Linked DNA regions of Xenopus tropicalis. The protein of the gene in region 7 interacts with the protein of the main gene of each other region in a pairwise test. Links are inferred from orthologs where the notes say so. Each region holds a gene or a part of one and is shown on either strand. Other genes may lie near its edges.

Region 1 (4,151 bases), on a different chromosome or scaffold from region 7:
CAAACCCCTGTTTACTTCCCAGTTATGCCAAACCCTACCCATGATCCACCCAAACTACTGTCCACTCCCCAATTATTCCAAATAATACCCATGATCCACCCAAACCCCTGTTCACTCCCCATTTATGCCAAACCCTACCCATGATCCATCCAAACCCCTGTTAACTCCCCAATTATGCCACATTCAACCCATGATCCACGCAAACCCCTGTTCACTCCTCAATTATGCCAAACCCTACCCATGATCCACCCAAACCCCTGTTCACTCCTCAATTATGCCAAACCCTACCCATGATTCACCCAAACCCCTGTCCTCTCCATAATTATGCCAAATCTTACCCATGATCTCCCCAAACCCCTGTCCTCTCCATAATTATGCCAAATCCTACTGTACAGCGCTGCGTACATAAGTAGCGCTTTATAAATAAAGATATACATACATACATACATACATCCTACCCATGATCTCCCCAGACCCCTGTCCACTCCCCAGTTATGCCAAATCATACCCATGATCCACCCAAACCCCTGTTTACTTCCCAGTTATGCCAAACCCTACCCATGATCCACCCAAACTACTGTCCACTCCCCAATTATTCCAAATAATACCCATGATCCACCCAAACCCCTGTTCACTCCCCATTTATGCCAAACCCTACCCATGATCCATCCAAACCCCTGTTAACTCCCCAATTATGCCACATTCAACCCATGATCCACGCAAACCCCTGTTCACTCCTCAATTATGCCAAACCCTACCCATGATCCACCCAAACCCCTGTTCACTCCTCAATTATGCCAAACCCTACCCATGATCCACCCAAACCCCTGTCCTCTCCATAATTATGCCAAATCCTACCCATGATCTCCCCAAACCCCTGTCCTCTCCATAATTATGCCAAATCTTGCCCATGATCCACCCAAACCCATGTCCACTCTCCATGAGCCTCACCCCTTTCACAACCCCACAGATCATGACTTTACTCTGGCCCAACTCTGCCATTTCTGTCAGCGCTTTACTACGAGGAGAAAATGCCATGTGTGCCATTATCCAAAGTGCCGTAGTATAGATTGTAAGCTCTTTTGGGCAGGGCCCTCTTCACTTCTTGTACCGGTTTGTTACTTTGTATGTAATTCTGTAGGTCCAATGTGTAAACCCACGTTTTGTACTGCACTGCAGAATATGTTGGAACTTTATAAATACATATTATTATTGTTATTAATAATAATAATAATAATAATAAAGGCCATATTCTCCACAGGTGTTTTTAGCCAAATTGGCTAATGCCAGCTCCAGTTTAAATGAAAATGTGTGACAGTGCTGGCACTGGCATTTTTCAGTACAGGTGGATCACACAATGCCAGTGCCAGTGTTCTCATCCCTATTTAGATAAATGGCCTGTACAGCAAGGAGCATCATTATGGTCAGTTATAGAACTGCAGAAAGAATAGAAGAACTTTCAGGTTATTGGCAAAATGTCCAATTCAAAACAGCCCATAAACAAATGGTTAATTATTACAAAACTAGAGCTCCAGGCGTGAGCACATGAGCACAGGGCCAGTATCTGGCAGGAACTCTAATGATTAAATTGCGCATTGCTCAGCCTGTCAGTGGAACTTGTGTGCGCTACATTCCAGCAGGCACTCCCAGCACTCCTCAGGCATTCCCACAGTCTGTATATTGTGCCAGCGCTAAGCTGTCAGCCCATTAGGCCCTTCTAGCCTGGGGTTCATTCAGATAACAGATAACAGAAAAAGTAGTGCAATTTGCAAAAGTGCTTAGATATGGCTACGTTTCCATTCATTCCCCTGTTGTAAGATGGTGACGTTTATGTTCTGGGTTGTTCTGAGATAATATTGAATCTGCTGGATTGCTGCAGACTCTAATGGGGTTTATGTAATAAAAGGCACTTAGTTTTCCCAGGAGCAGTAACCAATAGCAACCAATCAGCAGGTAGGATTTATTGGTCACCTGTTTAAAAGCAGACATCTTATTGGCAGCTTTAAAGGAGAAATAAAGCCTAACTAAAGAAGTAGGGCAGACATATTGTACATTATGTTTTGGGTTTCTGTACCAGCCAAGGCAACCACAGCCCTTTAGCAGGGAAGATTTGTGCCTCTAAATATGCCCCAGTAGCTCCCCATCTTATTTTCTGCTGCTTCCCTACATATGCTCTGTGCTGCTGTCAGTTACTTAGCTTAGGGACCGACTCGAAATATACTTCACAAATAGAGTATAAATGTAACAGTAAAAAGCGGATTAGTAATTCATTCAGATTCACATTACATGACAGATCTAAAATCAGGGCATTAGCATCAGAATTTAATAATTAGCCCTGTAGCATCAGCTTATATGACAGACAACCCTCATTTACTGCTTGCTAATTTGCAATAACCCCTAAGCTCAGCTTCTCAACAGCTGCTCAGACCACACTGAGCATGTGCACTGTCCCGGACAGTTCCAAGATGGGAAGCTCCTGTGACAACTGTAACGACCTATATCATTACTACTATAGAGATGCTGAAACTTTAAGCCACTGCAGCCAATTTATAATATAAAATATGAAATTTCTAGCCATATTCATTTTTAGGGTTTAGTTCTCCTTTAAGTTACTGCTACTGGGTAAACTTAGTGCCGGTTATTACATAGGGGGGTTAGAATATTCCACTGATGCTTTATCTGCAACACTGTCATCCCTGGATGGTAACTTGTAACTGACCCGCTCTGTGTTTCATGTAATGGTCTCATGTTTTCTACTCTCTCTGCTTGTTTGGCCTGTAAGTGAGGTCTGTGTTACTTACCTGTAGTCGGGGGTCTGTTTAGGCAGATTGGCGAAAACCTGATTGTGCCGGGGGGCGTGAAGACCATTGAAGCTCATGGTAGGATGGTGATCCCGGGCGGCATTGATGTCCATACTTGCTTCCAGAAACCATGCAACGGCATGGTGTCTTCTGATGACTTCTTCCAAGGAACCAAGGCAGCGCTGGCAGGGGGCACCACGATGATCAGTAAGAAGGGGCTTATGGAAGGGTGCATTAATAACAGGCCCCTTGAGAGACTTCGGCAGAGTGTACTGAATTCAGTAGCTTGATGCTTCCAATTATTCCCCCACAAATCCATTCTGCTACCCTTAAGATTCACTTTTTTTGGCTGACCTTTGGGATCAATGTGATTTGGCCAAATTTTAGAATATTTCAGCCTTTTAGCAGATGTGCAAAATACTAGAATAATCATCCAGTGTCTCTCTACTGAAATGTCTGCTGTGAGAATGCGTTGAATTAATAGAACCCTACGGCCTCATTTATCTTTTTTTTTCCTTTCCTTTGATGCTGATAGTTGATCATGTTGTGCCCGAACCTGGCTCCAGCCTGCTTAGCGCCTTTGATCAGTGGCGGGAATGGGCAGACACCAAGTCATGCTGCGACTACTCCTTGCATGTCGATATCACTGAATGGCACAAGGGTGTTCAAGAGGAGATGGAGGCTCTTGTAAAGGATCACGGTGAGGAGCTGCTGAATATAACAGAATTATGGAATAGACAGGGCAAACCCACCCATTGTATTACAGATAAAACAGATGGGTGGGTGCCTTACCACGTGGGGGTGCCCAACTCATATACCTACTGCATGCCAGCTGCATATATAATCAAAACACTGCCCCTTACACATTACAGCATGTACACAATAGTGCACAAAAATCAGTGTTTGCACAATAGGACGCACCTGCTTGAGTAAAATGGCCTTGTATTCCTTGCCTGATATACAGCCATGCAGAACAATCCTGAGACCTAATGACTCTCATGAGATAGCTGCCCTTGCCATTATAGATCCACCACCACATTAAACAGTTGTAAACAGATAATGTGGGTTGAAGGAACTCTCCAAAAATAAACACAGCTTCATATAGGAAAATAGGGTAAATAAGAACTTAAAAGGCATTTAACTTTCTCCTAGACTCAAGGACCCAGCATTAATGCCCCTGGTATCTTTGTGTGTTGACATTAGATACCAGTGGTTTCTAAATGGCAGCCCTGCCATAGGTTCCATGCTTATATATCCTTCTAAATCTCATTGTCTTTCCTTTAGGAGTGAACTCCTTCCTGGTTTACATGGCCTATAAGGACCAATACCAACTCACTGATTCACAGGTAA
Region 2 (4,151 bases), about 23 Mb from region 7:
AATCAAGGATAAACCTTTAAAAGTAAAACGTATAGGAAAAATTCAGCTTTATTTTACCTGATGCTGATTCCCAAACAATAAACAATTTACAAAAAATAAGATTTTTTTTAAAAGGTTTGGTAATTCAATTAATAAACTAAAATTCACTTTTCTTTGCTATAGAATTGTCTTGGGGTATTTGTTTGAATAGGATCAATGGTCCCAATTTTTCTTTTATCACTGTTTGTACAACAGAAATAGGAACCCACTGGCTCACATTAAAGAATTTTTACAGAAGAATTCATAAAAAAAACTCAAATATGAGAGTATTGTAGAAATGATACCTATATTGGCTAACAATAAAAATACATTGCAAGCTTTCCGGCCCTAAGGCCCCTTCATCAGGCAAAATACAAATGAAAACTGGAATGGCACAACATTTATACTGATAGATCAGAGAGAAGTGTTCACGAGCAACAAATTAGGAAGTTACAGATAGATAGAGATAACTTGTGAAGATAATAATTAATGTTTATTAGGGTGGGTTGTAAATAGTCCAGGGGCCTGGATTCAGTCAGGTCAGATAGTGTGACATGAAACCTGACCCCAAATTGAGGCCCTGTCTTAATGTGTTGAATAACTCCATACATTTGAATTCATAGATCTTCCTTTCTCATTCAGTTCCAAAGTTCCCTTTTAGAATTAACACCTTCATGTCCTGAAGCCTGTGGTCCTGATTGCAGAAGTGCTGTCCCACTCCTGGCTCTACCTAAGCTTATCAGAAAACCCTGCACTACACTGATGAGCCCCAAGAAGGGCGAAACCGGTCTGTAGTTGGGAATCTGATCAGCTATTATCCTGGCTTCTGCTTTGAAAACCCAGTGGGTGAGGTTTAGCCTATAGGATAAACCCATGTAAATGGGATTTTTCTAAGATCCTTAAGGAATTTGTTCCCAGAATCCCTTTTGACCCACCGGTGTATCACACGCTTTGGCCTTAATCGTATGTCTGTGATGGTTCATCCTTGTGCGTAGTTTTAGAATTAGAAATCCTAAACTGATTGAAGTAGTTTTACAAGTAAATTCCCATCACCCACAGCTATTGCCCTGCGTTTAGATTAAATGGTGAGGAATTACATTTATTTATAATAAGAGAAAGGTATCATTTTCCCACTTTTTTCTTTCAAACTTGTCCCACACAATATTCAGTGCATGTCACTTCAGTAATTGCTCCTTTTTTCCTGGGCTGAAATGTCTTCTCTTTTCTAATTAGTCTTTCAGGTTGTCCAAGAGCAAAGAAAAGTGGCATCAAGATAGCACAAAGCAAGGAGGATAAAGAAGATCAAGAACCAATTAGGTTAACTAACAATGATCATCTTGTAAAGAGCTGTAACTTTTAACACTGCGTACATTTCTGTGGCTACATATGCCTAATCTGTCTATATTGGCTGCCACTAGTCTATTGTCATGTACATTTAGCTAGACTCTTTAGAATCTGCTTCATATATGTAGTTAAATTATCAATATTATTTGTTACCATTTTAACCCTCCTGTAGTGCATCTCCCCATAGCTGTTCTTATTTTGTACATATACTGTTGAGTGTAACACATTACACCATATCCTTACTCCTCTCTATTGTGTCATCCCCAATATCCTGTTTCTTATGGCATTCACAATATCCTTATTCCTCTCCGTTATCTTTTTCAACCCTCCCATCTCAAAACTCTCTATTACCCAAACAAAGTTCCATCAGGGAGAGTGATATGCTTTTCACTGGAAGACACCAGACTTATGCTTCCAATAAGACCACGCTTGCTTGAGATCTGGGATACCTGCACATGGATTCCCAAAGTGTGCCGATTGTGCCAGTTAGCTGTATCGGTACCCAACAGTATAAGCCTGACTTTTGGGTCAGATAATGAACCCATAGGTGTTACCCTCCAAGCAGTCTCTGTAGATTGTTTAGGGCCATGACAGACAGGGAGATTAGTCGCCCGTGACAAGGGAGATTTGTTGCGGGCGACTAATCTCCCCAAAATGCTATCCCACCGGCGAGAATATAAATCACCGGAGGGATGGCATACGCGATGCCAAAACCGCAGAAGTTTCCTCTCAAGGCAACTTTACCACCCCACCGGTGATTTACATTCTCGCCGGTGGCATGGCATATCGGGGAGATTAGTCGCCCGCGACAAGGGAGATTTGTTGCGGGCGACTAATCTCCCCGTGTGCCACAGCCTTTAGATTTGACGAAATCTACTTTGAGGGTATGAACCTAGCAAACTATTCCATCATAGCTTAAGCTAATCTGTAGCTTGGGTTAATTAATAAAGCTAAGCAACAAGAAATATACTTCTTTCTGTTAGACATCACAGCGGTACATTTCCTTAGCATAGTGTCATTTCTTGGGCAGCCTTCATATACTTTATCAGTCAACAGGTTAAATTATTTCTTATTGCAATAATATAAATCCCTTTCCCCTTGCTTCTGTGAAGTTATCCTACCTGCTGTTTCAGTCTTCCTGCTGAGACTCAATTTTTCTCAAGCTGTCTCTGCTACAACATTCCTTATCACCCGCCATAACCTTCCCGTTGGCTTATAATCTCCTTACAAGAAGCTAGCTGGGGGCAAGGTCTATTGTGTCATTTAAGCCTGTATGACATAATTGGAGGCACACTCCAGGTGTAGCATTAGCAGAAAGAATCCTTGGGTTTTTCACATAGCCTGTACAGTGAGATACTAAGTCTTTTACTTTGTACTAAGGAACATTTTGAAACTGGCTCAGTGGTTGACCAAGACAAATATAACTCTACAAATACAACTTTGTAATTTGAATTTTAAACATGAAAATTGAGTATCTTTTGCTCCAGGATATTCATGTAAATGTTGAACAAATCTTTTCTCTACACTATGCAGGTGTCCAGTGCCTGGATGTGATGGACAAGGCCACGTCACTGGAAAGTACGCCTCACATCGTAGTGCTTCTGGGTGTCCGCTAGCAGCTAAGAGACAGAAAGATGGCTATTTAAATGGATCTCAATTCTCCTGGAAATCTGGAAAGACAGAGGGCATGTCATGTCCCACTCCTGGATGTGATGGCTCTGGACATATCAGTGGTAGTTTTCTTACACATCGCAGGTATGTCACACGACTGCAATTAAACCATGCAATAAACTGACTTTCATTCATTTTATGAATGAATTGAAAAGATCAGGCATTATGCACCATTTTATAAGCAAATAAATGAATGGTGCCTTAATTTCATCTTGCAAATTTTTGTAACATTTCCACCACTAAATCCCATTCATTAGACATCTACATTTTGGACAGGTCATCTGAATGTTTCCTTTCATCTCAAGTGCAGTAAACCAGTTAATTCTAACCACTGTTTGGTTGATAAGGGTAGAGCATGTGTTTTATACCACTCTCCCAGTTGGTCATTTCAGTTCATATATCAACTGAACATTTTTAGCTCTTGAGCATAGCCAATAAACAGTAACAGTACTACAGATGCTGATCCACTCAATCCATCCTAGAAAAAATGTTTAATGACAAAAAAATTCTACTAACTAAAATGACTAACTGTTATGCAGCTACATGAAATGTTTATCACCATCAGATACAAAGGGTGTTTTTATATATTTATAACATTTTACTACATGCTACAGATATTGTAACCATGAAGTCTCTATGCTATATACTAGTCACCGCACATACATGGTGCTTTGTTTTCCAAAGCCATCCGAAGTTTTCTTGAATAAAAAGTGGAAACCAAGTAAAGCAAAAACAAGGGGTTACGGTAGAAAAGAAGGACAAAAGAGAAGAACTAGAAGGAATAGAACAATAGAAGAAATATAAGGATCTTGTTATATGAAGAGGAGCAAACCTATTCATTCAATTCCGATATTAAGATATAAATGTATAATTAGCTCCTTTCAGCCTTGATTAATTTGTTTTAAAAATGCCTGTACTTTAAGCTTTCCTGGGGTTTTATTTTTCTAAAACTTCGTAGACTCTTCCTCATCCCCTCATGTATGTATGTATGTATGTATAACTTTATTTATAAAGCGCTACTTATGTACGCAGCGCTGTACAGTAGAATACATTAATATAAACAGGGGTATTAAAATAAATAAATACAAAGTATTTACAAACGATAAGTACAAATAAAT
Region 3 (4,861 bases), on a different chromosome or scaffold from region 7:
TCCCTTTAACACAATATTATTTTGTATTCTCAACCATGAGCACTATTTCAGGAAATGTGTGGAAATGCTGTTTCCACACTTAGTGTACACTGAATACTTCTAAATGTAAATCTTTGCAATAATTAGGAAGTATGATTACACAAATGCTGCCAAGTAAACTTCAAATAGGTCACTGAAATACTGTTAGGAGTTTTAATACATTGGTTATTTATAGAAACACCATTTTTGAAGATGCAATACATCCCATGGGTCTATGTTGTTTTTGGGTATGTTGGCAGTTGGTTTTAGACTCACATAGCTTACTAAATAAGGTTATTTTCCAGATACAGTCCAATTTAGAAAAAAAATCATACGTATTACTCCATTACGCTACATTTAAAAAAAACAATAAAATGAGCATGAAAAAAATAATCATTTAGAACTCACCATTTGTCTGCTGTTGCTTTTGCTTTACTCATCTTGAAGAAGTCATTAATTTTATCATTTCACTTCCTGAAAACAATTACAAGATTGTTCAAACAAAGTTAGATAACAATGGAACTAACATATAGTCATAGTTTTCTTGGGAATAATTAAAGGTTTTGTAGGCAATAATGAATACTATATGGTGGTGGTTTCACTCTGGGCTAAACATTATCAGTATCTTTAAAAACAGCCTATTTATTGAAGCTATCTACATATCTGCTATTAACCCTGATTGTGTTTTACATAAGGTGTGGGCGTGTCCTAACGGATGCATCCAAAAGCAAAGTAGGAAGGGGTAGCCAATCGTAGCCCTGCAGTCACACAAGCAAAGACAGGCCTCAGTTCCCCATCAGGTCAGCCTAGCTACAATAAGTGCTGAGTGCCGCCCTGCACAGCCTGAGAAAGGAGGCAGCTGACTAGCTGATAGGCTTTTGAAAAATGTTTCAATAGGCCAGCCCGAAACAACTTTACTCAGCACATTCCTTCAATTTTTAGTATTATGAACCGGCACATTTCTGCTCTTGGTTGTATAAACAAATCCTTTGTGGTTATGGGTGATGTCAAATTAACTAGATCCCTACCCATTCAGTGAAGAAGTAGTACTTGACCCAATGCAACTTATCGTTTGACATGATTTAGATAATTTGAACTGATGTGTCAAAGCTGCAGTATAACATCCTATTCAACATAAGTTCAATGAATAGGGCTAATAGGGTAATCACTAAAAATCTATGTTTCTTGTTATTTCTTGATCTAAACAGAGCAGTCAGGAAAACTGAAGCTACTGCTTGTTTGGCCTTGAAAGGTAGATAATTAGAGTAACAGTACTCAAACCCTTGTCAAGGCCCAAGGGCCTCAGAAGTCTGGACCAATGAGGAAGCTGAGTTCAAAGAGTCATATCCAATGGGGTTAAAAAAAACTCAAGATCATATTCAGGCAAAGGTCAGGGCAGGCATCCATCAATCAGAGCCAGAATAAAAGCAGAAAGTCAGGAAACTGGAAGATCAAGTCAGAACAACAATTCAGGCACACTCAGGAACTTCACCAAGAAATACCTATATTTGGGTATTGTATCTGGGTCTCTGGCATCTATTTATTTAGAATTTTTACACTGAAGCACAATGTTCAGCACATGCCCTATTCATGTTAAATCATAGGTATAGTGCCCTTTTAAGTACTATAAGGCATGGTATGTTGGAAACACTACACAAGCACTTATATTTGCCTATTTGTGTCTGTTAGTTACCCCTCCCATATAGCTTGTAAGCTCTACGGGGCAGGGACCTCCTTCATCTTGTGTTTCTGACTCTTATTGCAACTGCACTTTGTATTTATTGTATTTATTGTTGTACTTTGTATTTATCCATTATCTTTAACCCCCCTGTCTGTATTAATGAATTCTACTGTACAGCGCTGCGTACATAAGTAGCGCTTTATAAATAAAGATATACATATATACATACATACAAGCGCCATGCAGAGTAGTGATGTATAGGTTGGAAAAAAAGACATTTTAAACCCTAACCCGATGCACCGTCATTATTCATATAACCACACTAGACACAACCCACCTGGCAGGGTGGGCCATGGGCAGAGTTTGGTCTGTCCACAACCTGCTAAAGTTCCTAACCCACCCGATCCACGGCCTTCGGCCCAGCCCACACATCACTAATGTGTTTGTTCAAAGAAACAAAATGAGGCAATATTAAACAACCTGCCATAAAGAAGCCAGAAATTTAATTTGTAGTTCTGCAGCAACAACTGTTTGGAAAGTGCTGATAAACATCTAACTTCTAATGCTGGCCATACACAAGGACATTTAAGCTGCCGATTCTGCCCCTTCAGACCAAGCATCATGTCATCAAAATCACTTCTCAGCTTCAAAAGTTACCCTAAAATAGAAAGTGTCCTCTGTCTGACAAATATCCTATCCAAAGCAGGAACAACAATATTTTTTATACATTGTAAGATCTCTGCACTTAACCAAGAGCAGCAAACATACACATACTGAAACAAATATTAATAAAAGTATAATCAGTGGGACAGACAGAGAAAGTGAAACCTTACCATTTCAAAACCTACCGCTATGTACTTACAAATAATGTATTGAAACACTGTCTTCTTATAAGGCAAATTTCCCCTAATGAAATAACCCAATATTTTCTGCACAAAACCCATTCTATGTGCAGTTAAAAGATGCTTTATATGTTGTGTGTGTGTTTTGTCTAAAAAAAAAAAAAAAAAAGAAAACTTAGCCAATTCCATATTGTATTACTGCAGAACAGAATCGCAAAGGGAATAAATATCGTTTGTGGCTATGTATTTGTAATTAATGGCCCTTGTACGTGAACAGTCTCGTGCAAGTATTTAAAACTATTGTGTAATTTGCTACAAATGGGGACGTAGCCAACTCACATCTACACTGAGCATTAAGCAACAACACTGACAAGCACCACAAGCCACACACAATGCAAACATGATCACTATCAGGGTTCCCCTGCACCTGTTTGCTGCACCCCAAAGCCCCCCATACAGTACGAAGTGGGTTACCTTCCCTCAGTCAGCCAGCCACTTAGAAGACACTTGCTCCATGACGACTCATTGTAACACTGAAAACATCCATGCATTAGTATAGGGATAGCAGGGACAGCAAATACATCTGTGTTCAGCCACCACCCTCCCTACCGAATTCTGCAGCTCACTGACAGAACAAGACCCCGTAATCCAAGTAAATACATACTGTCCAACAAATGCTTTTCCTACCATAGCCAGCAAGCCCGCATCACCACTTACCCCTCCTGCAAAGCTGTCAACTGCAGGCTCCCAGCCTCCTGTCTCACAGAAAATCCTAACACTGCAAGTCTCATCGCGCGAGAATGGCGTCACAACAACTCAGCGCAGTGACACAGTAGCCGCCTTGTGGGAGCGACGCGTCGGCGCATCTTAGCGTTACACAGTCGGAAGCTGCTACCTGTCTGCGGTAGTTCAGCTTCCAGTCTTTTTTACCTTTCTCTCTGTTAGAAAAAAAATAAAGATATTTCTTTCGTGTTGGTTGACCGCCATGGCCTCATCAACTCGCAATTTTCCTCAGAAGTCATTTATAGTTGCTGCTCAGAATCCCAACTCTGTGCTGGTGAACTTTATGAAAGAGAGCGTTTTGACCGAAAAGCAAAGTGGTTCCACCAGGAATCTTTTTTGTTTTGTTGCTGTTGTTTGTGTAACCCCTTCTTGGCTGTAACCAAGCCAACAGCACCGCTAGTGACACTGTAACTGTGTGCAGTGCAGAGTAACAAATGGGCGCCAGAAGGTTCTTGCAGTTGTAAAATAGAATTGGTTTATTGTCAGACAATCAATATGCAGGGTTATTACAATATACTCACACAGAGGAGATATCAGGTAATTGTACAGAAGGTAGAAAAATATGGTGTCCACCCGTATAGCCCACCTCAGCCGAGGGTGGGGAGGGTAAGGACCACCAACCAGCACGGCCTCCCTGCGGAGAGTAGCCTGGCAAAGTATCCGTATCCTCAGGGTGTCCCTTAGCAGCCAAGGATCCCTCACAGCCGACTATGGATCAGGGAGAGAAACTGACCTGATACCTGCGTCTTAATTGTTTCCTGCTCTTTTTCATAAGGATATACTCTTAGTAGTATGTGCCACTGGGTAATCCTAGATAGAAAATTGCCATTTTTAATTGCTAGGGGCCACCCCAGGCGATAATAAGATTTACAGTGCACACAAACAAACCAAGGTCACGCATACATGTTAGGTCACATCAGCATTTTATGGAGGGTTTGTTTTTCTAATGCAGGAGAATCATTGCTTTAGCTGCTACTAATAGCAGAAGTAGGCACTCCCCTTTAGTAGAGTACAACACTGCAGAATAGGTTTACATTTAATAGTAGGATCATTGGTTCGAACTAGTAAAATAGTGGGATTGTTAAAGGCAGGGCCGGAACTAGGGGTAGGCAGAAGAGGCAGCTGCCTAGGGTGCAACGATTAAGGGGCGCCAGGCAGGAGCCTCTCCTGCCTACCCCTAGTGCTACTTTGTCATTGCCTCCGCCGCTTGTCATTAGCAGTGGAGGCAATGACCGATCTAATCGCTCCGCCCCCCCTGCACCTTCTCCTGTGCTTTGGCGCGCATGCGCCGTTCGGGTTGGGGGGGGCGGGGAGGTGGGCCGAGTTGGCTGACCGGGTTGCCTAGGGCGCCCGGTTGGCTTGGCCCGCCCCTGGTTAAAGGGCTTAGTGCTCTCTGGCCCCCTGTTATAGTATGTCTCACATATCTGTTTTGCCTGGTCCCAGAAGGGGGTTACTGGGCACAGCAAACAAATATATTCTTAGTTTTCCACCTCTGTTTCACATCTCCAGCAGCTGTTGTTGCTTTGTAGAATAAGCA
Region 4 (4,151 bases), about 87 Mb from region 7:
GCTTTTAGGCAGCCTCTATGCACACTATCAGCTTACAGGGGGCTTTATTTGGTAGTAAATCTTGTTTTTATTCAACCAGAACTTGCCCCCAAGTCAGGAATTCCAATATAACTACCATCAGGTTTGGGGGCACTGAGAGCAACACCCAAGGGATTGGTGAGCAATATGTTGCCCCCGAGTCACTGGTTGGGGATCACTGGTCTACAACATACTGAAAGTTAATTTAAAGGTAAATTACCCCTTAAGGTAATCGGTCCAAGTTTAGCTAAAAGGTTCTTTTTAAACCCACAGGTTAGGCAACTTCAGGAAGATGCTGCCCGACTGCAGGCTGCTTATGCCGGAGACAAAGCCGATGATATCCAGAAGCGAGAGAGTGAGGTGCTGGAGGCATGGAAAGCATTACTGGATGCATGCGATGGGCGAAGGCTGCGACTGGTCGACACAGGGGACAAGTTCCGCTTCTTCAGCATGGTGCGTGATCTCATGTTGTGGATGGAAGATGTGATCCGTCAGATCGAGGCCCAAGAGAAGCCAAGGTATGGTCAGCTTGCCCAATTATCTCCAGTGGGTTAATTATACAGAAACCCATTCTAACTAATCCTTACTATAAACTGCTGCTTGCATTCCAGTAATGTGATTTCATATAATTTCACTATACATATATACACATTATGGAATCTGTTCATTAATATAATCTGTCCTTCCATATACATTAATAAAGGCTGCAGTGAAAACCTTAAGGATTGTTTGTAGGATTGCTAGCTAAACTCCCTGTAGAGCCAGCATAGTCATGCTATCTATTAAAGACATTTTGTTTTGCATTCCAGAATTAACAAAAACATGTGTGAGTTTAGAATTTGAATTGCCCACAGAGCATATTTCCAGTGCACAGACACAGTATAGAAAAACGCAAAGTCTTGGTTGGCTTAGGCAGGTTACTGTTTTTAAAATTCAGTGTTTAATAAATTTATCTTTTTCTTTTTCCCTCATTAAAGGGTGTTTAACCAATTACCTGAGCCTGCCACAAACAGTATGGCAGAAACAAAACAAATGTGGGTACAAATCAAGGCATGAGGCCAGAGGACCCTGGCTGTGAGAGCTTAGTATATAGGGTGGGAACCATAATGATACATGAGGTGTGGAATAGAACAGTGCAGGGGAGGTTTAAAGGGGTGGTTCACCTTCAGATTAACTTTTAGTATGTCATAGAATGGCCAGTTCTAAGCAAATTTTTAGATGGTCTTCGTCATTTATTAGATATAAATTTTCAGATGGTCTTCATCATTTATTAGATATAAATATATCTGTTTCTCATTCAATCCACTTCCTGGTTGCTAAGGGAAGTTGAACCCTAGTAACCAAACCTAGCAACCAAATAACTACTGAAATTTCAAACTGGAGAGTTGCTGAACAAAAAGCAAAATTATCCAAAAAGCGCAAATAATAAAAATTTAAGACTAATTGCAGATTGTCTCAGAATAATACTCTCTAAATCAGACTAAAAGTTAACCCAAAGGTGAACAACCCCTGTAAGAAAATAGTTTGAATGCAGGTAAAGAGGAGCAAAGTCTTAGGGAATGCCACCAAATACTGTAGCATTAATATAATGGGAATGGGCTTCTCCATATGCCTGAGGGAATATCCTACATAGGAATATACCAATGTACACTCCATATTGATAAACTCGTTGTGAATATTCTTTGTGCAGGGATGTTTCCTCAGTAGAATTACTGATGAACAATCACCAGGGCATCAAGGCAGAGATCGATGCCCGCAATGACAGCTTTACTACATGTATTGAGCTTGGGAAGTCTCTCTTGGCAAGAAAGCACTATGCATCTGAAGAGGTAAGAGAAATGTAATGTAGCACTCAGCTGCAATGCAGATCTATGCATACTGTCCCAAAGCCAAAAGCCCTTAGTCAGAAGCCAGGCGTGGCTCATCCCTTCATATGTTTCTTATATTGTGAGAAGCTGATCCAGGAATACAATAACCCCATAAAGCATTGATACTACTGAAGCCATAATAAATAACTCTAATGTTACCTGACTTTCTCTGTCTGTCTCTCATCTATACATTCTTGTATTTCTGAGTATTTCATTGCTATAAGTATAGATTTTAATTAAAATGGAGCCATTTACAGTTGAGTTCCTTATGGGTGTCTGGGTAACCTTTTCTCACCCTATTCCAGATTAAGGAGAAACTGCTGCAGCTGACTGAGAAGAGAAAAGAAATGATTGACAAGTGGGAAGATCGATGGGAATGGCTGCGACTAAGTAAGTGGATGTGTGAGGCTATTGCTGAGACCATGTTAGCCATATAAGCACTGTCTGCCAAACATTTGTTTGTTCCACATCAGCCCTAGGGTAATGAGAATTCAGAAATGGAATCTGCAACAATCTCACTATTTGGAATAGAAATAAGTATAGTAATGAACATGAGTTCCTTGCTTTAATGGGGTAGTACTGACTACCCTGTACCCCACATTGAGGGCAGTGTGATTTACCAATATGCTACAGACACTTTCTTTACCTAAACAGTAGCTTTGGGTTATTTTAAGGAATGTGCTATTGCTAGAGGCATTTTGGGGGTCAGAGTCCTTCGCTCAAAAGCAGCTGTATGGAAACTCACTATGGATACTAAATGTGGCATATGGAAATCACTGATTCTGCTAATGACCATCAAACACTAAACCTACTTATGCGCTCAGTTGTGTGAGTTGAGTGAGTAAAACTTACTTTGCGTGAAAATAGTGTTGCCACCTATCCGGGTTTCACCCAGGCAGCCTGGTTTAGATAGGGCTGCCTGTCAGGATTTCCAAATTAGGACTGGACTGAAAATCTGGAGTTTAATGGTGCGGCGACCAACCAATCACTGATTGACACACCATAGACCCACCCCCCAAACTTCACCTGCCCCACCCGTTTTCCACCCACCCCAATATCATCAGTCCTGCCCCCTGCATGCACACCAAAGCCAAAAACTGTGGCAACACTATGAGAAAATATCAGTGAATTGTTTATCAATACAAACAACAGGTTATTTATGAAGATTTTTACATCAAGTAAATACATAAACCCAATGCACAAAGACTATGTTAAATTACAGTTGCTCTCCCCAATAAGTCACCCCTTGCCCCCCACTCTCTCCTGCCAGTTCTGGAGGTGCACCAGTTTTCCAGAGATGCAAGCGTTGCAGAAGCCTGGCTGTTTGGACAAGAGCCATACCTGTCGAGTCGGGAAATAGGCCAGAGCGTAGACGAAGTGGAAAAACTAATTAAGAGGCACGAAGCATTTGAGAAATCGGCAGCTACTTGGGATGAAAGGTTTTCTGCTCTGGAAAGGCTCACTACGGTATTGACACTGTGCTTTTCTTTCTTGTCTACTAATTCCACTCGCTGCAGCTTTACTGCTGATGACCCGGAGACTGCCGTAATGGTGGAACAAACAGAAAAGGGGTTTTATATTTAGTTAGAGAAACTGATTCCTCACTCTGCATTAATCCCGTCACTGACATGTCCTAATTCACATTTTTCTATAGCCACTAGAATATTAACCCAACAAAGCCCATGAGAAAACCATACAGGAGCATGTCCAATGCAGCAGCATTTTGAGGCCATAGTCACTAATTTGACTTTAAAACCTTAAAGCCATGTTTGGATCATGTTTCTGGGGGAACACTGAAGTGCTAGAGAGTGGGCCATCACCTACAGTGAACTGATTCATGCTCTATTGTTAGGCTAGCAAGCCTCTCATTGGTGTTACCTCTGTCAGGCAGTGCCTCATTGGTGGGCTGAGTTTTAGGCACTATCCCAGTCTACAGGCTGATTCCTTACATGAAATCTCTTGTCCTGAGCATTTGTAGACATTTTTTCTGTTGCCTCCCTCCTCCCCATACAGACACCACTTGGTGGAAGGGTACAGATATTATACAGTATACTCAGGGATATCTATGGAAACATGTCAAATTACTGTATACTACATAACACAGTAATATAATTTTGATATATTTTTCCCCTGTTTCAAAGGGAACAAATGGTATCTCACCTTTAGGAGGCTGTAAAGCTATAACTCACCTTTAAATCAACTTTTAGTATGATGTAGGCAGTAATACTCTGAGACAATCTGCAAATGGCCTTCATTTTATTTTTT
Region 5 (4,151 bases), on a different chromosome or scaffold from region 7:
TGTGAAACTCCGAGGCGACTATATTCTCATATTTTACAACAGGGGGTACATTAGTTATTATAATACACAAGTTTTAGTCATGTGACAGAAATTACATCACTACGTACCAATTATACCTGATGACCATTTATAAGGATATAATTTATAGAATATTCACGGCTCTTGTGTAGTATAAATAGAATAAACTTTAAAGCTTTAATCTCCGTAGGTTAAAACACTGTCCTATTTCTTTAGCCCCACTAGGAACCAGCTCCATAGGTAACAGAATGCAGTCGGCTCCCAGTGCTTACCAAGGGACATAGCTCTGACTGCACTTTTTCATATTATGAGACATGGGTTGGGGCTTGGATCCAGCTGAAGCTTTTCTTAAAAACCCATAGAGACCAATGCAGTGAGAAAACCTCCATCAGCCCTGAATAATGGGCCTAGCCCTGCACCCCAGCCCAGTAATATGAAATAAAAAAGCTCACAGAAAGAAAATACATAGTACAGGTGTGGGACCTGTTATCCAGAATGCTCGGGACCTGGGGCTTTCCGGATAAGGGATCTTTCCTTAATTTGGATCTCCATACCATAAATCTGCTAAAAATCATTCAAATATTGAATAAACCCAATGGGATTGTTTTGCCTCCAATAAGGATTAATTATATCTTAGTTGGGATCAAGTACAAGGTACTATTTTATTATTACAGAGAAAAAGGAAATCATTTTTAAAAATTAGAATTATTTGCTTATAATGGAGTCTATGGGAGATAACCTTTCCATAATTTGTAACTTTCTGGATAATGGGTTTCCGGATAAGGGATCCTATACCTGTATATCTAATGGTAATGGGCCAGGGGTTTATCCTCGCTGGTCTTTCCCTTAAAGCTCAAGAGTCCAGCTGCCAGTGACAGTGAGCGGAATGGCAGGTTTCCTAGTCAGTTTATATGTACAATTGAACACTATATTGATAGCGACACTACATACACTGCAATGCTGGCCTACGCTCGTAGGTGTAATATTTCCCTGAAGTCAGAGCAACATATTGAGCTGTTTCCAGGGTTATTTTTAGTCTGTAAATTCAGTCTACAATCTGTTTAGTGCTATTCATACAGCGTCTTCAGGAATGCCAAGCCCCTGACATTTTGTTATTAAGGAGAAACCAGATTGCTTGTCTTATTATAATCCCACTCAGCTATAATAGTATAAATGTTTCCATACTGTGACACCAATTTACGGGAGACTGCAGGAAGCTGTTTTTTTAGGGTTCTATTGTTTAGGTGTTTGTGCTGTTTTGTGTAGAGAGATTTAGGGTATTTGCTTTTACTGTAAATGGAGTAAAATGTGTATTGTAATAACTGGGCATAGGGGCAGTTAATGTACTATGTGCTGGCTATGTAATTATAATGGCTGCATGGCAAATACCAGCTCCTGTGGACTCTATTGGGAGGGATCTACAGTATATGACAATTATGATTTTTATTTGGAAACCCATTATCAAGAAAGTTTCCCATTTAAACTAACACTTGTTTATTTCTATGGATTGGCTTTTTTCTGTAATAATGAATATATAGATGTTTTAATAGCCTTAAATGGATTGTTCACCATCAAGTATGTTATAGAAAAATTGGTTCTTAGCAAGTTTTCAATTGGTCTTCATTTTTTATTTGTTATAATTTTTTAAGCTTTTTTGCCTTTCTCTTCTGACTCTTTCCAGCTTTCAAATGGGGGTCACGGACCCGGCAGCCAAAAACTATTGCTCTGTGAGGCTTTAATTGTATTGTTATTGTTACTTTTTATTAATTACCTTTATATTTATGCCCACCCATATTTATATTTCTGTCTCTCTTTCAAATCACTGCCTGATTGCTAGGTTAAATTGGACCCTAGCAACCAGTTTGCTGCTGAAATTCCAAACTGGAGAGCTACTGAAAAAACCCAAAACCCACAAATAATAAAAAATTAAAACCAACTAAAAATTAAATTAAAAGTTAATTTAATGGTGAACAACCCCTTTAAAGCTGCTCCCCAGGTCCCATCTGATCTGGGTAATAATTCCATATCTAAATTCTCAGAAACTCATGCCAGAGGGCTCAGTGTTCTAGATAATGCTCAGTTTGGCATTTACTAATATATATGCTTGCTGGCTCTTACAAAACAGGACCAGGTCCAGAAATGTATATTGGGTATAATGTGTAGCGGTTTCTGCTGCTGTAATATATGTCTGTCTGTGTCAATATATTTTCTGTGTGCAATGTAAAATTTTTTATGTCAGTAATTGGGTGGGACTGTCCACATAATTGGCCCCAGACTGGCAATCTGTGGGTTCTGGGAATGCCAGAGGGGCTGCTGTAAAATTCTATAGACAGTCACTATTTATTGGGCTGGTGGGGGCTGTTTGGGCCTCTGTGTACTTGGAATGCCAGGGACTATTTGGAATCTCAGCCCAGACCTGTAGGCAGTTGCAGAAGACCCACTAATGTGATCTGTGTCCAAGGTTTTTTAGTTCAGCAGTCCTGGTTGCTTGCTTGCCCATAGCTGACCAGGAACTATAAAGGGATCTTTATTTTGCCAGAGTTGATATTTATAATAGTATTTCAGCAGCTCACTGACTTGATCTCAATGAAATTTGCCGCAGTTTATCACAGTACAGCGATGAGAACATGATGGATCCATACAACCTAGCCATCTGTTTTGGACCAACCCTGATGCCTATCCCAGATGGGCAAGATCCTGTGTCTTGCCAAGCACATGTCAATGAGGTCATCAAAACCATCATCATCAGCCACGAATCCATCTTCCCCAGTCATCGTGAGCTGGAGGGGCCGGTATATGAAAAGTGCATGACCGGAGGAGAGGATTACTGGTGAGTACTATTCTTTCATTGTACCCAGGATTAGTCCCGTTATTCATCTCTTGTTCACATGGTAGGACCTGCGCCTTGGATATTTTTAATAAAGGGATTCTGTCATGATTTTTATGGTGTTTATTACTAAATTACACTGTGCACATTGCAAATAATTCATTTTACCATTCAAAATGTTATTCTTGAACCAATAAATGTATTTTTTGTAGTTGTAATATTAGTGTGTAGGCGCTATCTCAGTGCATTGTGCCTGATCCTGTGCCTTCAGAAATAGCCAGCACTTCACAATGGAACTGCTTTCAGATAAGCTATTGTTTCTCCTACTCAGTGTAACTGGAGGAGTCATGGGTCAGATTTAGGTGTTTTACTATTGAGTGCTATTCTCATATCTGCCACTAGGTGGGGAATTGGAGCATTTTTAGCAATACAGGTGTGAGGGAGCTGTTATCTTGTTACGAGAGTGATATCACTCCAACTTGCAGCGTAGCGGTAAAGAGAGACTAAACAAGCACACAAGTACACACAAGCACTTACACAATTACACACAATCACTTACACACAAGTACACACTTACACACAAGCACTGTACACACAAGCACTTTACACACTGCACTTACACATCTGTATAACAGGTGCATTTTACATTAGTTTCTTTTTTTTAGATTTCATTATATGGGCATGATGTATAGAAGCATCAGAAACGGAATCTTTTGCCATTTTGCTTGGCCCCAGGCCAGACTGGACAGTAGGAGGCGCTCCCGTTACACATATATGACATTAGCAAATTAAAATAAAACTCTCATTATCATGATTCCTGCTCTGTGGAAAAATAGCACTGACAGCTCTCATGTTTTTTGAGTGTTCTAACAATGCATTCTGCCGTTGGAAGGTGCTGTCTGTAAGGTTACTATTTTCTGTCTGCTCTATAGGGAATAGAATTATGTTATTTTTGTGTTTATAAAGAAGAATATTCAGTTAAATGGGTTTCATCTCATTTGTTACAGCATTCGTCTGGAAATAGAGATGAGCTTATTACAAATTATATATTACAGTAATTAATTAGTGGTCTCTGATGAAAGGTATAATTAGAGGGCACTGCGTGTACAATGCTTTCCCTTTTATTATTGCTAAAAGCTGATTAACCAATGAGATGCCAGTTGGGTTCAGCCCCACCAATAGTGCAGAAGGATGTTGGATGTAATGGCGCTTATGTTTCATTACAGTGACAGTCCCCACAGTGAGCCGGGTGCTATCGATGAGGGTGACAACGGCACAGAGCCTCACACTAGTGATGAAGGTAAGA
Region 6 (4,151 bases), on a different chromosome or scaffold from region 7:
TGAATTTAACGCTGAGTTCTCTTTCTTGAGAAACTGTTTGTTTTCCTTAAGACAGGACGCCACACTGTACACTGCATGGGGTGAGATCAATACACTAAGTTATGAAAAGAATGCCATTTAAATCTAGGTCTATCTAACCTAATTCACTGGAACACTACAATTATATAACTCACAAGGTTTGTAGATTTTTACATTTTATAGCTTCTATGTAGATCTGCCAGTGCTATACAGTTGCTCTCTCTTAACAATGCTCTATTCACCAGAGTATCTTGATGACTACCTTTCCTACATCTTACAGAGCTATGCATTGATACCCTATTTTTAACAACACTTTGCATGGGCACATTTTGAACTTTGTAACAAGGCTTTTGGGAAGAGCGAAGCTGTGAAAACTTTGGTTTTGCCTTAGTCCCTCCTCTCCTCTTTCTGAAATGTAAGGGAGCTAAATGAAAGGGGGCCTTCATCATGGCTTCCAAACATTTATCTTTTAAATCCCAAGAAGGACAAAGTGAACCCTCCTTTCTGGGCATTAAAATATCAATACATCCCAATCCTTGACTGCTGGAAACGCCTTCACGAAAGCCTTTTTCTAAATAAAATGAAGACCCTTCTAAAAGCTCTTTCCTTCCACTGGCTCTCTTTGGTGAGCTAGCACTGGTCACTTGGGAGCATGGTAAACATTTGGCACTACGCGGTTTGCCATCACCCCCCTGCAATGGGTTTAGATAGTCTTGCTCTTCTAGAACTTTTACTTCAGGGCCAAGACTCAAGCTAGTTCTGTCTGTGAAGGAATCGCGCCCATCATAGCCTCCAAGATCAGCCGGCGCTGAGCACTGGTGAAGAGGCCACGATCCTTTACAATCTCCTTGGTTCTCTTTATCATCTCCATTGTCTTCTTGACCACCGTCAAAAGAGTTCTCAGTTTGGTTATTTTCTTGCTCAGTTGCAGTTGTCGTGTTCAGGTCCCTGAGAAATACCACAATCACGGTGATGTTATCACTTGAGCCAGCATCACGAGCAGATGCCACCAACTTATGGGCAACCATGCTACTATCTCCGTTGTTCTCTTTCAGATGGTCAGACACCACTTTTACAGCTTCATCAGGGTTGACTGTATCATAGAATCCATCACATGCCAGAATGAGGTAATCTTCAGAGCCATCAAGGACAGTGGAGACAGAATCAGCATCTCCACAAATATATGGCTTGTGCTCTGCATCCCCTGTTTACAAAAAAAAAAAAAAAAAAAGAAAAACAAAACCCTAAGGGTGTTTTCTTAAATTTTATCTCTAAATACTTGTTGTCAGAAATTTCTTATATTTTGAATTATTATAATAAAAGCAACATATACTCTGCTTTAATTTGTGCCTTCCTTAATTTGAGACCCGCAACTGCAAAAACATTTTTTGGGCATTTCATTGCTAAAAAATAGACTGAAAGCCAATGTGCAAGGGTGACCAGATCACTTGAAAACTCAGGGACGCTTTTTTTGGGGTTTTTTTTCTCAAAAAAAAACAGCTAGCAGGGCTGAACTGACTGCAGTTTGTTTAAAGGAGAAGGAAAGGTAAAACTAAGTAACCTTTATCAGAAAGGTCTATGTAAATACAGCCATAAGCACTCTCAGAAACGCTGCACTGACTTCTCTGTCAAAAGATTTCTTGTGTCTGTAATTCATGTGCCAGAGACACGTAGCTTTCTGCTCTCTCCCCTCTCCTGCTCCCCCCTCCCTCAAGAATGCTAAAAACTCACCCCCCCTTAGGAATGTGGATCTGAGCCAATCAGCAGAAAGCTGACTCATAGTCTAACTGAGCATGTTCACTTTGTCTGGGTTTCTGTGCAGGAGCAAGGCATTATGGGAACTTTCTTTACACAGCTCAGCCTTTATTCTTCCTGTTTGGCTTCTGATCATCTGAACAGGTGAAATATGGGGAGACTTAAGGGCACTATTGAGACAACTGAAGGTATGCCTGCAGCTTGAGATTAACTCTTTATTAGCCTTTCCTTCCCCTTTAAAATGCAATCAGTGCTTCCCTGCAACATGTATTTATTAGATTGTGGATTTGTGCGAGGGAAGATCGCCGTATCACCGTATTTGAAATGACCGGATGCAAAGTTTTACAAGGTATTTTCTAATAAAGCTTTCAGAATAATAAACGCTGGGAAGGATAGGACAATTATTGGAGCAGGGTAGAATAGATTTTTTACTTAAAAAAATTTAGTGTTACTTTTCCTTTAATGCAGTTATTTTTCCAGTGTGAAAAGTATGTTCCACAATACCCTGTTGTTTTTTTTATTAAAGGAGACATACAGTTGCAAGAAAAAGTATGTGAACCCTTTGGAATTATATGGATTTCTGCACAAATTGGTCATAAAAAGTGATCTGATCTTCATCTAAGTCACAACTATAGACAATCACAGTCTGATTAACCCTTTCACTGCCAGCCATTTTGAACAAAATGGAACTTCTACTGACAGACAGTTTTTGAACATTTTGCACTGTTTGACTTTAGGGGCTTTTCCTCGGGGGGACTTTTAGTTTACCCAGGAAAACTATATATCTTTTTTCAGGACAACCTAAGCTTTCAAAATATGGTGGAATTTCTGTGTAATTCCAATTCTGTAACAAGATATAGGCTTCTAGATGTCTAAAAAATGAAAAAAAAAATATTTTCCATAATATAAACACATACACCAGAAACAAAAATTATTTTATGCATGAAAATACAACTGATTTGGAAAGTCCCATGTCTCCTGAATGTGCCAATACCAAATATATATAGTTTTATGGAGATTTCTCACTTGTATAGGTCAAAAACTCCCAGCAGTACACTACCAAATTTCCAAAGCCCTGTTTCAGAAAGCTGCATACTTTAAAATTTCAAGGCCAAAAATTCCACTAACAGAAGGTTTATCCCAGAAAATTGTACATTTTTAGAAAGAACAGATTCTGGGGAATACAGAATAGGCACAACTGTCTGTCTTCTCCAAACTACCAAGTTGCAATGCTTTCCTAAAGTTATTGGTTTTTATCAAAATTTGTGAAATTTCTTAAAAATCGCTTCAAAGCTTCCTGTCTATAGTATCTTATCTCCTACAGGACATAAAGTAACCAGATAAAACACCCTAAATATGAATGCCTGGGGTCCACTGAATGGTTTGATGCCCAATATGTATAGGTTTACTTAAGTATGTGGCATGTAGGGGCCCCAATGGGAACATACCCCCATATGATCTATCATTTCTGTCATTTCAGCTCCTGCAATATCAACAAATTTACATCATTTATGTAGGATAAAGCTAGTAAAAAGTACATTCACCCCAGAAAGTCATATATTTTTGGAAAGTACACATTCCCCGAAATCTAAAATGGGTACCCATGTCTTTCTACTCCAAAGTACCAAGCCACAAAGGTTTGCTGATTTTATTACATTTCCAAAAATCACCTCAAAACTTCCAATATGCAGCATCTTATTTTCTATAGGTACCAAGGTAAAACACCCTAAATATGAACACCCCAGAGGTCTACTGAACAGTTTAATGCCCACTGTACATAGGTTTATCAAAGCACATGGCACTTAGAGACCCCAAAATATACCTTGTGCACACTAATTTCATGGCTTACCTTTACCTAATTCATAGACACATGGCAGTTTTATGTGGGATAGAAACTGCAGAAATGTAGGGTGACCCCCTGAAAATCATATATTTTTGGAAAGTACACAATCTGTCAAATCCAACATGGGTAAAGAGTCCTTTCTACACCAAAGTACCAGTCTGCAAAGCTTTCCTAAAGCTAGTGGTTTCTATGACATTTCAGAAAATCGCCTAAAAATGCAGCAATTTGCCGCATTTATCTCACACACTTATCTTGCATACAAAGGCAAATCACCCCAAATAGTAACACCAGAGGCCTACTGAACAGTTTGATGCCCTATTATAGATTTATCAAACTATGCAGAGTACAGGGGCACCCAAATAAAAATAGGGTATATGAATTTTCACATATGATGCTCCTGCTAGTGCAGTTTTTGCACCCGGTATGTGTATTATGTCCCATAAGACCCCCTAACAGTATGGAGACCCTAGAAAACCTTACATTTTCCGAAAGTACACATTCTGACAAAACAAAAATGGGTAAATACATCTTTCTA
Region 7 (4,151 bases):
TGAGGAGCAGATGCGCAGGGAGGAAGAACGAAGGCGAGCAGAACATGAGAAGGTTGGCCAATGTAGGATGCTCCACTGATACGCTCAGTGGCAGCTGACCCAAATGTATTTCTTTGTCAACAAAATGCAGTAGTTTTTTCCCATCACTTCATTTTATCAGTAACGTTCTACAGGTAAAGTAAGTTATGTGTATGGATTCCTTCAAGGAGAGAATATGCAGCAGAATACTGTATACCACTTTCTGATGCTATTATGGACACTTTAATGATGGCACTGATTAAGAACTGAGAACACAATTTACACTTGGCATTTCCCATCAAATACTAAATAAATTATATGTACAAACACTGGGCAGCATTGTATAAATGTATGGTTTAACATGAATTTATCTCTCTAACTGGTGTACTCTCTGCTCTGAATACCCGCTATGTTTCTTTCTTGGTAATTGGTGTCTAAGGTACTAACAATTCTTTTGCTCAATCACTTCTTTCTCCTCGTTTCTTTCTCTTTCACTGCTGCACAACCCAGGAATACATAAGGCGACAATTAGAGGAGGAGCAGAGGCAGTTAGAGATATTGCAACAGCAGTTACTGCAGGAGCAAGCTCTACTTCTGGTAATGGGAGTCATTCCCCAGTTCATTCCTGCCATTGTGTGTTGCATTACCTACTACTTCTTGGTCATATGTCCAAAGTTCTCATCTTTCAGAACAAGTGCCTTGCATGTTGTTGCACTCATTAAAATACTTTGTACCAATATGTTTCATTAAAAATAATACAGAGAGGATCTTCTTCATATTAAAATAGGTTTTCATGATTTGGAACTAAAGGGTTTTTTTCGCATTAGATTTTTACAATACATTTGTGTCTTTTTTTTTTCCTATAAATGTGATAGCATGCCAGAGTGCCATAATCCTTTCAGGGAGAGTCACGGTGATCTAAATGCCCCTGTACTAATCACTATTCTTCCAGAGTATAGTGGCCATTTAATGAATTATAAATTCAGGCATTTTCACTTTCTGCTAACATTTGTACTACTGCAACATTTGCTTAATATATTTCCTTAAATGGTCAGGTCACCCGATAATGACAGATGAATAGAACAATAAAATATATTCGTAACAACTCAAATCTAAACTCGAGATTAGTCCGCTTTTTGGTTGTCAATGATCCAAACAAGCATAATATATATATATAATATGCAGAAATGGGATTGTCTTCTGCATGTTGTCTTTTTGTTTGGTGATTGCTCCTCCATGCTCCTATTATATATAGTGATAACACAAACAAACTATATACAAATATACAAACCAAATATATTAAATATAGTGAGAAGGATTGGTTCCTCACAGCACAGACCCCTTCACCCTTCAAAAAGCAGGTTATCTGAAGCTTGGAGAAAGCAGGTTTCAATGCCGTATATATCAAAATGAAGTCAGAAATTATTTGCATTGCTAAAAATGCTCCCATGCGCTACGTAGTGGTAGTTATGAGAATAGTATCCAAGCAGGAGAAATAGGAAGCCAAGTTGGGAAATAATTTTGAATATTACAAACCATAGCTTATCTGAAAGCAGTTTTATTGTTTAGTGCAGGCTCAGGCACAATGACCCTAGATGTCTGCCTACATATTACTACTAAAAATACATTATTGGTTCAATAATGACATTTCTTAAAAGTGAAAATGAATTATTTGCAATGTAAACAGTGTAATTTAGTGAAAAAACTATGCCATAAAAATCACTTTAATAAAGTAGGGCCAGGCTAACAGATTTGCAACTAAAGGCAAATGAATCATGTCTAGAAATAAGTTTATTCCTTGCGCATTGCCATTGCATGTAATTATGGCTTGTAAAGCCTTGGCCTGCAAGGTAATGGAATGCTGTGTAGCCTTTTGTTCAGCAAAGCTGTCAGTTGCTGTTGTGCCTCACAAACCCACACCTTTGTTCTCATGAAGCAGAATTATGGCTGTTGTGCTCCCTAGGAGAGCTGTGCTCGCTTTAGGCTTTGCAGAATTAGCATTGAGCAAAAGGACTAAGGATGCTTCAGTGGTTCTTGCATAGCCGCGTATGACTTGGCGGGTTGTTCATATGCCGTAGGCACACCATTCCTCTGCCAACAACAGCAATTATCATAGATGGGAAGTCAGTGGGACAAACTTATTATACGTATCCAGCTGAAATCACCTTCTTTGATATCAAAGACTGTTACCATCCTGTTACGTCATTAAAACGATTTGTGAAACAAAATGTTCTTTTTTCCTGTTTATTTAAACCCACATAACATCCCAGTTTTACTTACAATGGAAATAATGTAGCTGGTTTTAAATAAGCCTTTATTAAAAACCAAGTCGTGAATTGAAAACGTTTTAACTTCACCTTTTAAGATAACACCCTTAAAGAATTTCTTATGCTTTATTGGAGAGGCCACTTTTTTGTTTATGTTGGAGCAAGTCTGAGTGTAGTTTGCTTTCCAGGCTAACTTGCCACTGTTTTTGCATTTTCTCCACAAAGTTCAGATTCCTACCTTTTAAATACTTTCTTTTTATTTTCACTTGACATCCTATAATAAGGTCAAACATCTTGGCATTCTATTTTGTGGAGAAAAACAAACCTATTCAGAAAAGTCTCTGGTGGGTTGGTTGCAACAATTAGAAATGGGCCAAAGAGTCAACATCTGCCTTGTGACTGATTTTTACCTACCTTTCCTTAAAGGAGTATAAGCGTAAGCAGTTGGAAGAACAGAGACAAGCAGAGCGACTTCAGAGACAGCTTCAGCAAGAGCGAGATTACCTAGTTTCTCTCCAGCAACAACAACAGCAGCAACAGAGGTCATCTGAGAAGAAACCACTCTATCATTACAAAGAAGGGCTAAACCCTGCAGAGAAACCAGCATGGGCAAAAGAGGTATGGCAGCCATTGTGCCCCAACTGGGCTAACAGAACTCAGCATGAAATAGTAACATAATTGCTTGACCGATTGGGTGTATTTCAAGTATTAATAATTTTTGAATGTTTCATCAATGTTTATTCTTTAATAACAGGCTGGGTAGGATTCAGTGTGACTGTAACTTACACAGCTCCAAACCTAGAATGTAGGCTGACATCATGTACTGCAGATACTGGTTAGTATTAAAGTGCTGAAAATACTCCCTCTGTCCACTGGGGAGCGCTGGGTACCTCTGTAAGATTAAATTCTCGTTGGACATCAATTACAACTTGCTGTATTTGATTTAATGGCCATGAAGAATACAAATGAACATTTTAAAGCTGATGAATGTGAATTAAATATTTTAGATTATTTCTAGTAGCATCCGAAAGGTAAGGAAAGTATTTAACCTAAACAAAGCCTTGTGGGGGGAGGGTCATTGTGTTCATATATCAGAAGTTTTGCTTTTAGCTTTTTGATGTTGGCGTTAGGGTTGACTGATGGTAGCTCAATGAGTTCCTTATACCTAACCATCCTTGGATCTTTGCATCTGTAGTATGCCATAGGGTCCACTTGATTTTTAAATGTATACTTGGGGGAGTAAATGCTTCAAGTCCCTGCTTGGGTATATATAGCAGAGGTCAATGAAGAAGGCAGATCCTAGCAAGGTTATGAGGAATTACTCCTTCCAAAACCCTTGAATACGTTTTATTTGAAGGAAAAATAAGATAGTCTCTGTGGAATATTATTTCTTAATCAGGAGTTGAAGAGATGAAAGGACAATTTTTTTTTTTTTATAAATGCCAAAATATTTTACATTTTAGAAAAATTGTGATGCAGTCACAAGTGAATAAACCCTCTCATTATAAGTGTTCTGAATAGGAGTCCTCTGTATTTATTATTTTAAATTATCTCCTCCCTTCACTCTTTGATTTATGTCCTCTTTACGTAGATGAAAAAGTGGGACATTGTTATTTTGTAGTTATTAATAGTTATCCAGCAATCACACAGTTATTCTGTAATCATCCAGCAGAGATGTTTTCCTAAGTAGGAAAGGAAGGATGTGAATATTAGAGAGCATTTATGACTGAACAGATATTTTTTGGCTCATGTTTTTTATGTGAATTTTTTTTACTAATGTCTTGTTAGTTATAAGTTGTGTTGAAACATATGTAGCCAGCCTGTGCCTCTCCGACTGCCTCTGAAATACAACTCCAAGACTGGTAG

Evidence for each region.
Region 1: the proteins of tnik (region 7) and dpysl2 interact in a two-hybrid assay, tested with the Homo sapiens proteins (2 studies listed by BioGRID and IntAct). The link is inferred for Xenopus tropicalis from reciprocal best matches to the Homo sapiens genes TNIK and DPYSL2.
Region 2: the proteins of tnik (region 7) and myt1l interact in a two-hybrid assay, tested with the Homo sapiens proteins (2 studies listed by IntAct). The link is inferred for Xenopus tropicalis from reciprocal best matches to the Homo sapiens genes TNIK and MYT1L.
Region 3: the proteins of tnik (region 7) and agtpbp1 interact in a two-hybrid assay, tested with the Homo sapiens proteins (2 studies listed by BioGRID and IntAct). The link is inferred for Xenopus tropicalis from reciprocal best matches to the Homo sapiens genes TNIK and AGTPBP1.
Region 4: the proteins of tnik (region 7) and sptbn1 interact in a two-hybrid assay, tested with the Homo sapiens proteins (2 studies listed by BioGRID and IntAct). The link is inferred for Xenopus tropicalis from reciprocal best matches to the Homo sapiens genes TNIK and SPTBN1.
Region 5: the proteins of tnik (region 7) and srgap3 interact in a two-hybrid assay, tested with the Homo sapiens proteins (2 studies listed by BioGRID and IntAct). The link is inferred for Xenopus tropicalis from reciprocal best matches to the Homo sapiens genes TNIK and SRGAP3.
Region 6: the proteins of tnik (region 7) and ppm1e interact in a two-hybrid assay, tested with the Homo sapiens proteins (2 studies listed by BioGRID and IntAct). The link is inferred for Xenopus tropicalis from reciprocal best matches to the Homo sapiens genes TNIK and PPM1E.

Annotation. Positions count from the first base shown.
Region 1 is NC_030679.2:128,069,119-128,073,269, forward strand, and holds part of dpysl2 (dihydropyrimidinase-related protein 2), read left to right. Parts: intron 1-2,823; coding exon 2,824-3,008; intron 3,009-3,336; coding exon 3,337-3,501; intron 3,502-4,085; coding exon 4,086-4,147; intron 4,148-4,151.
Region 2 is NC_030681.2:134,547,379-134,551,529, reverse strand, and holds part of myt1l (myelin transcription factor 1-like protein), read left to right. Parts: intron 1-1,251; coding exon 1,252-1,335; intron 1,336-2,895; coding exon 2,896-3,117; intron 3,118-4,151. UniProt on the Homo sapiens protein: Transcription factor that plays a key role in neuronal differentiation by specifically repressing expression of non-neuronal genes during neuron differentiation.
Region 3 is NC_030677.2:134,720,128-134,724,988, forward strand, and holds the start of agtpbp1 (cytosolic carboxypeptidase 1), read right to left. Parts: upstream 3,293-4,861; 5' UTR 3,259-3,292; intron 3,128-3,258; exon of another isoform or gene 3,016-3,127; intron 493-3,015; 5' UTR 459-492; coding exon 427-458; intron 1-426. UniProt on the Homo sapiens protein: Metallocarboxypeptidase that mediates protein deglutamylation of tubulin and non-tubulin target proteins.
Region 4 is NC_030681.2:24,112,131-24,116,281, forward strand, and holds part of sptbn1 (spectrin, beta, non-erythrocytic 1), read left to right. Parts: intron 1-291; coding exon 292-536; intron 537-1,708; coding exon 1,709-1,847; intron 1,848-2,191; coding exon 2,192-2,276; intron 2,277-3,156; coding exon 3,157-3,353; intron 3,354-4,151. UniProt on the Homo sapiens protein: Fodrin, which seems to be involved in secretion, interacts with calmodulin in a calcium-dependent manner and is thus candidate for the calcium-dependent movement of the cytoskeleton at the membrane.
Region 5 is NC_030680.2:131,638,349-131,642,499, reverse strand, and holds part of srgap3 (SLIT-ROBO Rho GTPase-activating protein 3), read left to right. Parts: intron 1-2,620; coding exon 2,621-2,848; intron 2,849-4,071; coding exon 4,072-4,145; intron 4,146-4,151. UniProt on the Homo sapiens protein: GTPase-activating protein for RAC1 and perhaps Cdc42, but not for RhoA small GTPase. May attenuate RAC1 signaling in neurons.
Region 6 is NC_030678.2:95,294,156-95,298,306, forward strand, and holds part of ppm1e (protein phosphatase 1E), read right to left. Parts: intron 1,223-4,151; coding exon 189-1,222; 3' UTR 1-188. UniProt on the Homo sapiens protein: Protein phosphatase that inactivates multifunctional CaM kinases such as CAMK4 and CAMK2. Dephosphorylates and inactivates PAK. May play a role in the inhibition of actin fiber stress breakdown and in morphological changes driven by TNK2/CDC42.
Region 7 is NC_030681.2:111,603,991-111,608,141, forward strand, and holds part of tnik (TRAF2 and NCK-interacting protein kinase), read left to right. Parts: coding exon 1-52; intron 53-528; coding exon 529-615; intron 616-2,711; coding exon 2,712-2,903; intron 2,904-4,151. UniProt on the Homo sapiens protein: Serine/threonine kinase that acts as an essential activator of the Wnt signaling pathway. Recruited to promoters of Wnt target genes and required to activate their expression. May act by phosphorylating TCF4/TCF7L2.